Linked DNA regions of Astyanax mexicanus. The protein of the gene in region 2 interacts with the protein of the main gene of each other region in a pairwise test. Links are inferred from orthologs where the notes say so. Each region holds a gene or a part of one and is shown on either strand. Other genes may lie near its edges.

The links. The genes of interacting proteins can lie anywhere in the genome.
Region 1: the proteins of pex12 (region 2) and pex10 interact in a two-hybrid assay, tested with the Homo sapiens proteins (4 studies listed by BioGRID, with this or other methods). The link is inferred for Astyanax mexicanus from reciprocal best matches to the Homo sapiens genes PEX12 and PEX10.

The regions. Positions count from the first base shown.
Region 1 is NC_064419.1:19,024,428-19,032,286, reverse strand, and holds the start of pex10 (peroxisome biogenesis factor 10), read right to left. Parts: upstream 3,024-7,859; 5' UTR 2,623-3,023; coding exon 2,511-2,622; intron 595-2,510; coding exon 514-594; intron 1-513.
Region 2 is NC_064408.1:29,621,535-29,628,697, reverse strand, and holds the start of pex12 (peroxisome assembly protein 12), read left to right. Parts: upstream 1-4,156; 5' UTR 4,157-4,352; coding exon 4,353-4,484; intron 4,485-7,163. Other genes in the region: ap2b1 (AP-2 complex subunit beta), read right to left, coding at 755-1,000, 1,567-1,702, 2,246-2,351, 2,494-2,530. UniProt on the Homo sapiens protein: Component of a retrotranslocation channel required for peroxisome organization by mediating export of the PEX5 receptor from peroxisomes to the cytosol, thereby promoting PEX5 recycling.

The DNA of each region.
Region 1 (7,859 bases), on a different chromosome or scaffold from region 2:
TAATTAATAGTTCAAGCTATTAGAGGCGTTACAGTATTAAAATCAGCCACAATTCCCTTCTTTCTCCACAGAGCTGAGCTACCAATGCAGTAGCTTGTTGTGCTAACTGGCTAGTGTTATCTAGCAAGCGTGCTTGCTCGGCAGCGTTGTTCTACACATGGACACATGGAACTGGTGGCACTTTAGCCACCAGGGAAGCCAGTGTGGTACTACAGGTACAGAATTGGTTAAGTGATGGGTGTAAAGTGAGCTTGAGGAGAGGGAGGGAGGATTTATTGTGGGCTTAATTGAACAAAACACTGACAATGGGTGGTGCCTACCTAATGACACCAGTGAAGAGCATACAAAAAATGGGTGATTCGAATTTAGGTGAAAAGAATATGTCAAATTTGGTGGTCCAATTTAATAGGAGTGAAAAAAACCCCTCAACACCACTACTAACCCTGAGTACTCTTGCACCAACACAATTTTTTATTACAATTACCCTGTTACATATCAACAAATTGCACCTACCTGAGAGAGTAGTAAGTGCGTAGTAGGTGAGATCTGACAGCAATTCCAGCTCCTTTCTCCACTGTAGCCATCGTTTGGAACCTGATTAAAGTGGAAACACCAATAAACTAAGGCAGTGGTTCTCAAACTGTGGTACGTTCACCACTAATAGTATGTGAAGCATCCCTATGTGGTACACCACACAAACATATTCATTGTAATGCATCAAAACCAAAAGAATAGTTTTTCAGGCAACCATATGTATATAGGCACACCAGGTCACTTCATCCTATTTCCAATGTCATTTTTTTATGTAGTACTTTTACTCTATAGAATATTTATTGGCTGACATACCATCTTGGTACAATCTCTATGACTGCTAATAAAAATACAAGGCTAAATTAACAGATCTTTCTACCTATGTTTTTTTAGGACCTTTTTTAATAACACACATGATCGATCCTTTCATGTGTGTTCTGTGACTGCATGTATTTAATTGTGTTATTTTAAGCTACTGGATGACCTAATTTTTTCTCAGGATTAAGAAGGTATATCTTCATCTCTCTGTCTCTCTCTCTCTCTTACTATATCTATTTATCAGTGATTCACAGATGAGGGAATTCTGAGCTGACGTGAATATCTGATATTACACATGCACATATCTGTCGGTACCAATATTCATATTTTTAACCTAAAGAGAAGGTAGGCAGCCGTTAGACTTGTAACATTTATTTGCCTTACATTTCAGCTTTCAACCAACTGTATGCAAACAAAATGACAAAATGCATCTCCTGAAATTAGAGCCATCTACTCACTCAGAGAGAACAAGGCCTATTGTGCTCTCTCTCTCGAGTGGACCACTCGGAGCCCCTGATCACAGTTTTAAACCCTCTTTTGTAAATCAACAGGTAAAATAAAACATTCGATTAACTAAAAGTAATGAAAAAAAAATGCTAAATTAGTGCGGCCAGTGCTTGCCAACTGTAGCAGTGTGGCCAGCATTACTTGGCCCTTTTCCAGAGTACAATAAATATGTCAGCAAGCGTCACTTGAAATATCGGCCAAACCTAGGCAAACCCTATCTATCTAGCAGATGCTATTCAAATCAGACAAAAAGCCTGGCATCTCAAAAAAAAGTCCAGAAAAGTTACAGAAGGTCTGTTTTCCTGCTGTGCCTTGCGACACATTTCCCCTTTTCATCTTTTCCAGTTGTTTTGCTTTACTTCGCTACCCTGCAGACTCCACTCCACAAAACCAACTAACACTTTTACCAAGATATTTACACAGGAATTTATGTAATATAGAACTGTGCATTAGGAAAATTCTGCTGCATTGGGAAATATTTACGATCAGAGAGAGATATATTTTTCATATATTAATTGATTCAAATAAATATACAGCTCTGGAAAAAAATAAAAGAGACCACTTAAAATGCTGAGTTTCTTTGATTTGACCAAATTAAAAACCTCTGGAATATAATCAAGAGGAAGATGGATGACCACAAGCCCTCAAACCAAACTGAACTGCTTGAATTTTTGCACCAGGAGTGGCATAAAGTTATCCAAAAGCAGTGTGTAAGACTGGTGGAGGAGAACATGCCAAGATGCATGTGATGAAAAATGTGATTAAAAACAAGGGTTATTCCACCAAATATTGATTTCTGAACTCTAGCTGAACTCTTGAAAACTTTATGAAAATTAACTTATTTTCTTTGCATTATTTGAGGTCTGAAAGTTCTGCATCTTTTTTTGTTTTTTCAGCCATTTCTCATTTTCTGCAAATAAATGCTCTAAATGGCAATATTTTTATTTGGAACAAATGTCCGTAGTTTATAGAATAAAACAACAATGTTCATTGTACTCAAACATAAACCTAAACATAGCAAAACTAGAGAAACAGAAGTGGTCTCTTATTATTTTCCAGAGCTGTAGTAGCAACAATGTCTAGAAAGTAACTGAACCAGTGTTGAGAAAAACACGTGCTGTGTGTGGTTTAGGTAAACAGTGAGAGAGACTCACCGGCGAGGGTCTGGAAAGCTTCGCTGGTGTTGTTTCTGAGGCTGCTCTGGTAGTACTCGTCCTTCTGGGAGGAGCGGATGAGCTGAGGCTGGTTGGCGGGTATAAGTGGCATTACTGCCGGAGATTTAATAAACTAATGAATTAAATAAATATATAAATAAATGTGAGCTGGACTCTGACCGGGTGTTCCGCCATAAGCAGCTGGTTTGCTCCTCTCTGTGTGTGACTGCAGCAGCTTTAGCTGGGTCTGACAGCAGCAGCAGCGGAGTAAGAGAATTAAACACACACTAAATAAAAGCTTATCATAATATATAAATCAGTGACTGCAACTAAAAGTCCGTCCATCTTCATGTTGAAAACACACAAACCGAGTCCTGCAGCCTATTTTACTTCCGTCTTAATCACGTGTGAAGAGGAGAGCTCGCCATTGGTCGGCTGTCTGCAAACAGCGCTTCCGTGGAGCAGGCGGGAGGGAGTCAGAGTTGCCAGATTTGGGGTTTTCACTCCGTCACTGTGGTTAAGGTTAAGAATAGAGTAGAGATACACAGGGTAACATACTAGTACGAATTGAAGCCAATAAATCAGTGATTTGTGCTTGATTTAAGTCTTACTTCACTCATTGTAAATAAATGTGATTGCTTTAATATAAAGCATATTTATAAAGTGTTTATAAATGGTTATTAATTAGGTTGAAGATATTTTAAAGGGGGCATATAATATCTACTTTTAAACAAGTTAAAATAGTTCTATTTGCTGTACAAAACATGCTCATTAAGTTCTTTGCACAAAATCACTCTCACATAAAAAGATCTCACCAGATTCACCATTTCAGAAGTTTCAGAACTGTTTAAGGACTCTGTCACTTTTTGCAAATAAGCCTTTGCTGGACATGCTCCATATTTACACAGAGGGTTTACCACATGTTAATGTTAGCTTGTGCTAAATGGCAAAACACGAACAAGCTAGTTCATTCTTAACTGTGATAGAAGAACAAAATTAATTATTTGAAAGTACTTACATCCCCCTCACCTGCTGACTTGCCACAGACATTAGGTATAGATTCCTCCCTCAGACAAAGTCTGCTGGCTTATCTGCTGTGTACTCTCTGAGGTGCTCAACAAGCAGATTTTTAAATGATCTAAATTACTACTTAATTAATAACTATTTATAAACCATACATTTTTTTATTTAAAATATATTTAAAGCGCTACCCATTATTGTTTCATCATCTTTATTAGAACATCATTAATTGAAAAATAAAAAATAAAAAACTATAGGTAAAACAAATTTGGTAGGCTAAAGCAAAATAACTTTTGGTTAATATGTAACTTAGTTTAATAAAAACTTGCCTTTAACACAAGGTTTACCAATGTATTTCCTTCACTATTTTTCCTCTATATATTCTGCATATTATGTATGTGTGTATATGTGAATTATTTATTTATTTCAGCTTGATTTTTTGTTGTTACACTGCATTTCTATGCAGACGAACACCAAAAATATTGAAATACATATTTCATATAAGCACACTCCATATGTACTTTAAATTGTACTGTAGTTAAAGTAAAAAATTACAGTTTTAAATTTCATAATAATTCACAGTACAGTAACAAATTACATTTACTTGGTTACTGACTTAGATATACAACTTAATAAATATAACAATCTTATATCTCCTTATATATAAATTATCAGTTTGAATAGCTGGCCTATACTGTTATATTTGTACCAAGAAAAAGTAATAAAAAAAATGAAAATACAATATACCTGGCAACCCTGGAGGTAGCATGGGCTGGTTCAGTTTACACAGGCACTCTGTGGTTTTGTTTTCTTTCTGTTTTTTTTTCATACTTTTTTGCATTTATTTATTTAATTGGTAGAAAAAAGTACATATTTATATTAATCCAGGTTAATATTTTGAAAGTATTATTATTATTAATTTTTTGCTGTTAATATAATCAGTTTTCTAAATATACCCACATTCAAACGTTTACATCACATTATTTTGTTTTAATGGAAAAGTTATTTTCAGTGCTGAAGCACAAAGCTTGTGCTGTATTATTAGCTTATTAGTATTTGCCTTCACGCCTTCATGATCTGAGGTGATAGAAATGATGACATATCGTGAGTGAGTGCGCTAACTTTTGCGCTGTTTATCTTTCCGTTTATTTGTTCTAACACTTCTAATGTTCTCTCTTTCTTTTCTCTCGGTGCACAAAAGGTTACATCACTTTCCCCCTCGAGTCCATGTGTGGCCTCAAATCCTATCCTGCAGAACCTGTTTCTTTGTTCCTTTGGTGCTCCAACATCAAGCAACTCTATTAAAGTCCAACAGTAAAGAAAAAAAAGTGGTGAAAGAAAGGCTCTTTCATGCTCTAGTTGGTCCAGAAAAAAAAAGAAAAAAAGAAAATCATACTTAAGACTGGTCACCAGATTTTTCATGTTCGGGGGCAGGCCGTGTTTGATTAAAGACTTGCCGGAGTCTATTTACTCCTTATGGCGGTGAAGGAAGTGTGGACAGTGTTTACACTTGAGGAGGGGCAGTCCTTTTCCTCAGTCTCAGAGATACATGTGACTTCTTGCAGGCTGGAGTTAGGTGGTGTACAGGGCAGATGAGGGGAGTAGTGGCTTAAGAATCCACTTGGAAATAGCAGGCAAAGCTTGATCCTCACTGAGGTACAGTAAATTATTTCTTTTTGTGTTTGTCTTTCATGTTGTTCATGTTGTTTATGTTGATGTTTTGTGGAAATAGTGAGTTTAGGCATTTGAATAAAGCATGAATGTGAGTGGTTACGTTCTTGTGGCTGAGAAACATCAGATCTTCAGAATTCACTGAGGTTTATTAGGTTAAGCAGTCTGAACTAATGTGTATATTTACTCAGAATGAGTCAGTGGAACTGATTTAGCAGTTTCTTCCTACTGAACATTGCAACAGACTCTCAAATATGTTTATCTTCCTGACATCCAGACTTTTGCTTGGTGTGCATTTTTTAATTTTCAAAGCTTTTTGGGATTAGTAGAACCTAACAAGTATAAAAAATAAATTCTGTCTTTGTGCAAAGTGTCCATTCATTTTCTGTAGCTTCCTATTCTTGCTAAAATTAGTCTAAAAAGATTGACATATGATGCTAAAGATTTGAATGATAGGGGTGGGCGATGTGGCCCTAAAACAATATCACGATATTTCATGGTATTTCTGCGATAACGATACACTTGGCAATATGACCAGATAAAAATTTTTGCATATTGCGTATTATTGCATATGATATGATATGTCACATCTCTAACTGAGATATTAAAAATACAATAGTTGTATCAGATTTGTAACAGAAGTCAATGATCCAGAATATCATGATACTAATAATGCACTTCATAAATCTCCATATATCCAGAATTAAAGTAAAATAAATTATACTGGACAGATATAATCTGTCTCTAGTAGATATATAATGTGAGAAATGAGAACCGTGTGAATTTTTCAAAAGGTTATGACAGTTCATGAAAGAAGAGATTGTTTTTTTTTTTTTTTACATAATATGCATACATGTTGAATATCGCAACACACCTGGTAACATTTTATGATAAGGGTCAGAATTAACAGTACTAAGACAGTTATAAACATTCTTACATGGTTGAGTAATTTCCCAACTAATTACTAATTGTCACTAGTTAAGACATTATTAAATAAATGTACTTTTTTAAAGTGTTACCTTATATTTACATGTATATTAACTTTTGCTTAAACATAGTTCAACACTATATACATATTTAAACAATGTCTAAATAAAAATATAAGTATAAAAAATAAATTCTGTCTTTGTGCAAAGTGTCCATTCATTTTCTGTAGCTTCCTATTCTGGCTAAAATTAGTCTAAAAAGATTGACATATGATGCTAAAGATTTGAATGATAGGGGTGGGCGATGTGGCCCTAAAACAATATCACGATATTTCATGGTATTTCTGCGATAACGATACACTTGGCAATATGACCAGATAAAAATTTTTGCATATTGCGTATTATTGCATATGATATGATATGTCACATCTCTAACTGAGATATTAAAAATACAATAGTTGTATCAGATTTGTAACAGAAGTCAATGATCCAGAATATCATGATACTAATAATGCACTTCATAAATCTCCATATATCCAGAATTAAAGTAAAATAAATTATACTGGACAGATATAATCTGTCTCTAGTAGATATATAATGTGAGAAATGAGAACCGTGTGAATTTTTCAAAAGGTTATGACAGTTCATGAAAGAAGAGATTGTTTTTTTTTTTTTACATAATATGCATACATGTTGAATATCGCAACACACCTGGTAACATTTTATGATAAGGGTCAGAATTAACAGTACTAAGACAGTTATAAACATTCTTACATGGTTGAGTAATTTCCCAACTAATTACTAATTGTCACTAGTTAAGACATTATTAAATAAATGTACTTTTTTAAAGTGTTACCTTATATTTACATGTATATTAACTTTTGCTTAAACATAGTTCAACACTATATACATATTTAAACAATGTCTTAAACCATCTTAAACCACAGAGAGTCTTGGTCTCTCTTAGAAGTGTCCTGACCATTTTATAAAATCTTGTCAAGCTGCAAGTACTTAAGTTATTCATAAATATTTAAGTGTTATAATAGTGTTATAATTGCGTTTTTAAGTGTTCTAAAGTGTTAGGCTTAAACTTATGAAAACAGTTTATGTCATTCACTCGTGTCGTTACAAATGCATAATATCATGCGTTTTAAATTGCATACAAACACTGTGTAAAAATACATTTTTGTACATAATACAAATATACAGTTTTCATTTACGTTCAAGAAATATATTTTTGTACATGTACATTATTACAAATATACAGTGTTCACTTACTTTCAAGCAGCAGTAGTTAAGATTTTTTCTTTTAAATTAAATCAGTGTGTCAGGAAAACCCAGGCAGGGAGACGAGGAGGCGGACACAAGTGCAGGTAGGGTGAAATCAATAAATAATAATTTAATAAATAAATAACAAGTAACAAAGAAACAAGAAACAAGTAAACACTAAAACACGGAACAGGGAGATATATACAATGAACTAGGGAATAAACGAAATGTCTGAAAATAACCAGAAAACAAACGAGAGGAACCAGAGAACTAAAACAAACAAACTAGAGAATATAATAAAAATAAACAAACCAAACAGGGCAGGGAAATAAATACAAGGGAATAAACTAATAAACACAAAGCAGGGTTAAATACAAGGAGTTAACGGAAATAAACAAGGGACTAGAAACATAAACTGGAGATAAACAGGGAAAAACACGAAATAAGGAGCACAGGAAACAAA
Region 2 (7,163 bases):
ATAATAGAGAATATAGTTTCCTATTAAAGGCAAAGCATCTCACAATTCTGGCTGAAATCTCACACTCCTTAATGTTGAGAATTTTTTTTTCCCCACAAGAGGGAGTCATTAATGCTCAACTCGATTCTGTATGCTTCACTAAAGGGAAACAAACTAGTATAAATGCATACCAGCAGAATTATACATACGCACTTACAATATGATTGTAGTCTCAGGACTATGAAGTAAGGGAACAAAATATATACAATGTGAATACTCAGTTGCAGGGCACATTTAACGTTGGACTGACCAGCCCTTCCTTACCTAATGTCATTGATCAATTCCTGCACTCTACCTCAGGCCATTTAAGGCTATGCTTAATGTGAAACAATGCACTTTTCTAAACGGTACCTTTGGAACTATTAAGGATGATATTTTCTGTAGTGATATAATGGTAAGGATGTATCATCAGTTATTAAGGAAACATGCTGGCTTTAATCACTGGCAGCTCTTGTCAGCAGAGCTTCAGTCAGTATTTTCTTATTGGAACTGTGCACAAAGAAGTCTGCCTACCGCAATTTCCCCAGTCCCATTTCCACACTCTGGGTTGCCAGGTATAGAACACAACAACATGCAAACAGCATGCTGCAGCCATGAAAATGAGAGATCTGGCAAATGTGCCAATCTGGCAACCCACACGATGTTAACTTCAGCTAACCTATACATAAAACATATGAATTTTTACGTTTAGCACACAACGAGCATAATTACGAACCATTGGGTTAGAGTCAGCAATAAGGTCCCTAAGGGAGTCCAAGAAGCCCTGGTCCTCCACCATCTGAGCATTGATGTCATGCAGCTTGGCCACACACACAGCAGCAGTCTTCCTCACATACGGGTCTTCATCCTTCAGACATTTCCTCAGAGGCTCACACAGGTATTCTGTAATCTTATCCACACGAATGCAGCCCATGGTGCGCACAGCCAGGGCTCGAATGAGTGGATTAGGATCCTCACAATCCTGAGGGAAAAGACAGACACACAGTAATGTCACCACAGGACATCTGTAGTGATTAACAAGATTAATTTAAAATAATAGAGATAGGATCTTCTACCTGAATTAAACAATGACATACTCAGAATTTTACACTGTGAATCATGATGACCATACAGATCCTAAAACAATAATTGCAATATTGACCACTTATATATTTAATAGGCTTTAGAGAAACAAATTTGCAATAAAACAGCTCTCATCTACAGCTTATAAAAACAGAGCTGGACTACTTCAGTTTAGTGATGTAAATGTAGCCTAAATGCTTCCAAAAGTTTCTCCAAGCTTTCTCCAAACCAACAGAATACAGTGGAATATTTATGACATTAAATCTCACAGAACATGTTTAACCTAGGGTTATTTCTAAAGAAGAATGCCACTATCATTTTGAAAGATAAAGGAAAAGCTACATGCTCTATGTGTTTATAATGTTTAAAGCAAGTGGTTTAAAGCAATACCTATTGAGAGTTAAGTTGCAAATAGCATAAGCACATTTTAAGCATCTCTTCTTTAATATCAAGAGAAAAACTTGCCTTTACAAAACTGTTGACAGCCATAATGGCCATATCAGGCTGACTCTTGGCATAGTTCATCAGGTATAGATAGACCAGTTTCTTCAGCTCCAAGTTATCAGTCTGCATGCAGTTCACCACATCCGGGAACAAAGAGCTACAGAGAGGAAAGAACGAGGCAGGATAGATTTAAATCAAGATCACCACCATCAGCAATATACAAATCTCCTCATAATCTATTTTAAATAAAGAGACAAACTTAAACAGTCAAATGAAAAAAAAAAACAAAAAAAAAAAACATGCTAGCACTTTGAAACACTTTTACTTGATTATTGACTAGAGTGTTTAATAGTCACAGAATAAGGAATGATAATAATAATAATAATAATAATAATAAAGCATCAACTGCAGTGCAAAATAATAAGTCAAAATGAAAATGAGCTAAAGCTAAGCTAAATTACAGCCTACACAGTGTGGGATTCATTTAAACATTTTTCTAACAAATAATCCCCAAGAAAAAAAAGAAATTAATTTCGTTCTCCTTACAGAATCATTATAAATAAATTACAACTGCGATGTCTGTGGCCCAAACAATTAAAAAACATATAAAGCAAATAGCTCACAGAACACGTGACATTATTGCCCTGAAAATGATCCTTGCCCTGCATTTAAATAACAGTGTCCAATAAACCCATCATACCTGACATCCTTGCCCACGGTCATGGCAGCGATGACTTTTTTCACCGCTTCCTTCCTCTTCTCCTTCTTCTCATTGTTTAACTCAGCTTTCAGTTCAAATATCTCTCCTATAGAAAATAATAATTGTAGGGTAAGGTTAATAAAACATAAAGCACTGACCAGATAAAACTACCATGCCAGGTGTGAGTGAGGTTTAATTCAGATTTATTAATGAGAAAAAATAAATGTCAATCAAAGTTAAAACCTTACCTTTTTTGTTTGTAGTGAAATACTTTGAGTCTGTCATTTTGATTGGTGTTCAAGTTCACTTCAGAGAAAAGCACACATTAAAATAATACAAATAAATATGTAACCACAAATAGGAGTCTCAATTTATGTTGTGAAAGTTTTTTTTTTATAATGCAAAAAAATAGCCGTTTGGCAAAAAAGAATGATAGATTTAACATAAATCTAGCTAAGGTTACACCCATAGCCAAATTATCTCGCTACCTACCCTATTGTATATGTTTTATAGGACATTTACTGAAATCTCTTTCAAACCCTGTAACTTATTTAACACTTACAAAGGACATAAGCTCTAATATTGTAGTAGTTGTATGTGTTGTACGATTTAAACGAGCTTTGTTGTTTTATTCTATAAACTACAAACAACATTTCTCCTAAATTCCAAATGTAAATATTGTCATTTATTTGCAGAAAATGAGAAATGGCTAAAATACCAAAAAAGACGCAGACCTCTTAGACCTCAAATAATGCAAGGAGAACAAGCTCATTTACATATTTTTAAGAGTTCAGAAATAAATATCTGGTGGAATTACGCTGGATTTTAATCACAGTTTTCATGCATCTTGGCATGTTCTCCTCCACCAGTCTTACACACTGATTTTGGATAACTTTATGCCACTCCTGGTGCAAAAATTTAAGCAGTTCAGTTTGGTTTGATGTCTTGTGACTATTCATCTTCCTCTTGATTATAATTCAGAGGTTTTCAATTTGGTAGAATCAAAGAAACACATAATTTTTAAGTGGTCTCTTATTTATGTTCCAGACCTGTAAGAATATATGTGTGTATAGTTATGCGTGTATATCTATGCATTAAAAAAATTTGATGGTGTAATGATATGTAAACTCTTCAATAATTATCATTAATCCAAAGGATTTGTAAATAAGTTTCTTAAAAAAAAAACCCTTAAATAAATTAAGAAAATATATAAGTAGTTTACTATATATTTGGCTATGGGTGTAATGTTAGCCAGGTAGGAAGGTTAATATAGTCATGGTGAATTTAAAAAGAGATATATGTTCAGTATAAAGCTTATTCTGCTGGAAAACAAATGAAAGAAACGTCTAATATGTCTTAATAACTTTATCTAATCAGAATGAACATCCGAAACACAGCAGGCCGGCCAGGAATCCGTTCATATCCGTTCAGCTCCATTCTCAGACAGAACACTGTTTATTTATTTACCCATAGACAGAAAACACAGTATATTCAGTGTAAATAATGTATTTAAGCTCGATATTTGAGGCTCCCATAGCAATTACCCCTGGGTGTGACCGTTTAACGTTAGGTTATCTGGGCTAGGCTAACTAGCTAGGTAGCTTGCTAAGCTAACCTATCGCTAGCTATCATCTACGAAAAATGAACGACATTCGTTAAATCGGCCTTTTAACTCGCCTCGCCAGCAAATAAACAGACTGTCCAAAACAGCAACAATAAAAGCCCCTACCTCGGAAACAGGAGCGGAGAGGATTTTAAAGGGTATCCGGGTGTAAACGGAGCTGGAGTGAACCGCTGCTGCTGCTGGCCGCTTTCACTGCCACAGCTGTAGACGGAGGGGGGAAGAAGATGGAGCGGCCGGAACGGAAAGTTGGGAGCTCTTGGAAAAACACGGAACAGCCATGTTGTTGCACCGCCGAGGTGCAGAGAATGGCATGCGTTAAACAGTGTTTACACTGTACTTTGGCCACTATGGCGCCCGGTTCTGGTTGTTTTGAGCGCAGAGTGGGTTATAGACACCGCTGTTCGCTTCCTAACTGAAGTATTCTCTGATTTACAGTCTAATTTTGAAGTTTAAGTAGGTTATCTATCTGTAAACTCGCTCAGAATGGCGGAGAGAGGAGCACATCTGACCACAGCAGCAGCAGCAGCAGTGGAAGACAGGCCGAGTATTTTTGAGGTTTTAGCTCAGGACTCGTTGATGGGTGCTGTCAAACCCGCACTGCAGCACGCCGTGAAGGTAAGCCCGCAAAACAACTGAATACTGAGGACTGCGTGTTGTGATCCTGGCGATACGATACTTGAAGGGGTTACGATTCGGTATATAGCAATAGATTGTGATACTATAAACAATTCCGTATATAACATCGACATCAACAATTTTAACTCTCATAGTATGAAAGCATAATTATAGTTAGAGAACATTGCACCACTTTTGCGTAAGTTCCTTCTTAAGTTTGTGTGTAAAGTCTCTACTAAGTCCTTAATAACTACTAGTTAGTTTCAAACTATCCCTCTGGTTACACCACAAATCCATATTATTATGTACAATAACGATTATCATCACAACCATAACAGGTTGATTTATTGTTTTGTATTCAATACTGTTTTTCTTAAATATTTAATCTCAAAATATTGCAATATTATACAAATCAATTTTTACATTATAAATTTAATATTGAAATCATTAAAGCTGTACATGAATATGATTGTTAAACAGACCAGAATATGTTTCATATTTTAGATTCCTCCATGTTTAGCTTTAAGGACAGATCTGCACAATTGGTATTTTTCAGTGTCTTTATGAGGTAGAGTCACCTGGTATAGTTTTCTTAGCGTCTTAAAGGAGTTCCTGAAGGTGCTAAATAGTAGTTGCTGTTTTTCCTTTGCACTAAGCTCCAATTCCATATATGTGCCTTAATTGTTTTTATGTGTTTGTTATTAATCTACAATTAAATAAAGAAAAACATTTTATGAGGTGAAAGGTTTGTCCAAATATGCCTGGTACTGTAGTTATAGCTTTGTATTGGATGCAGTGATTTTTTTTTTATTACTTTTTTCACTTTTTCACTTCCAATACTGAGGCAGAAGTTAACTTAAAAGTTGATACCCCATACCGATCTGATATCATTAGTCGAGAGACTTTCTTAATTGACTTAAACATTTACTAACCTTGCAAAATCAAATATAGTTTAACATATTGGGCCTCGGTACAGCTTTTAAATTCAATATTAAAGAGCCTCTAAACCATATTGTTTCTATTAATATATGTTACTTTAAAGTAATGAAACTAGGGCTGTCCCTAACGATTATTTTTTAAACGATTATTCTAACGATTATTTTTTTCGATTAGTCGACTAATCTATTCATTGAGAAACATATTTAAATAATTATTTTACGTTTTAAAGCAAACGATAAATTACTATATTTATATATAATAACAACAACAACAACAACAACACAAGCCTACTAAACCAAACCCCACACTTATAATCACTTACATGTACAGCACGTTGTTTAGATCTATAACGCTAAAAATGGATAAGCTCCCATACACCACAACCGTGTGTTGCACTGTTTTCTGTGACCGCTAGATTTTGTGACCACTGGCAAGTAGTTCTCAGCAGACCGGTGCACTGGCCGATTCGAAACGTGTTCGTTTCTAATGTTTACCCCGACTGGCCAAAACGGTTCAGTTTAGGGCTGAGGGTAAGGTGTAGGTATAGAAAGCTTCCGTTTTGCCAATGAACGCTCATAACCGTGAGCACTGGTCACAAAATTCCGACGGTGACAGAAAACGGTGTGACACCGCAGCGCCGACGGCGCTAGCTAAAATAACTTAAGGCAGCTAGCTTAGCTAAACACCTGAACTTATGAATAATGCTACTGTTTCTGGAAACTGCGAAATGCCATGCACAAATATAAACCAAAAATGTATAATTTCTGCCTGTGGCAGGTTTAAAACCTTTGGTAGACAGCCTTAAGTCTTTTTAAGGACACCCGCGGAGACCCTGATGTAAACGGTAACTTACTGTGTGACCCTGTTGACATAGTGCTCCTGGATGTTTGCGCTTCAAGTGCTCCTTTTGCACGTATGGCAGAGGACCACATTGTTGCCCTTTTGCGTGAAATGCTCCCAAACTTTAGATGCCCGCTGGCGTTTTTTTGTAGCTGGAGATTGCTCTCCGGAGTCCAAGCTCCCTAGAGCTTAGATTCTCTGCCCGAACCCGACATGACCCGAGGCCCGCCCGTAAATCCGACCCGGGCTCCAGAAAATAGTCCGAGATGTAGGCGTCTGTTTTTTAATTATATTTTTATTTAAAAAAAAATAACGAAAACTGAAAGTGAAACTAAACTAATTTATTTATAAGCGCTGTTTTCACTACCGCAGTTCTACAGCGGGGGTGTTGTGCCGATTCTGTCCGCGAAGCGGGAGTCAGATTCAGCAGAGAGTCGGATTCGGCACAAACGCGGCGGCACCTCGCGGTCCGCGGTGTCAGTTGTAAGCGCTCGCGCTAGCCGCAAAATACGGCAGAAAACACTGAGGGAGCTGCAGAATTATGAATGGGACTAGAATATGAGCACGAGGAGATCAAAGAGAACCTTCACCTGTGAGTAGAACAAGCAAATCTCTCTCTCTCTCTCTCTCTCTCGCACGTGAACTCCTCCGCGTTTGACTTGCAGAACTGTGTTTAGCTGTTCTTAAAAATCATTTTAATTAAATAATAGTTCTATGCTTCTATGTTACCGTGTTAATTAACATAATTCTGATCATATTTCGCTCATTAAAACAGCCCGAAAACAGCCAGTTGGAATTTTTGGGCCCGATCTAACCTCTAATGCTCTCCACAGGCGCCGCCATGTTTACGACGCGCCGACGCACGTTATGCAAATCGATGTATTTTTGTAATCGATGACG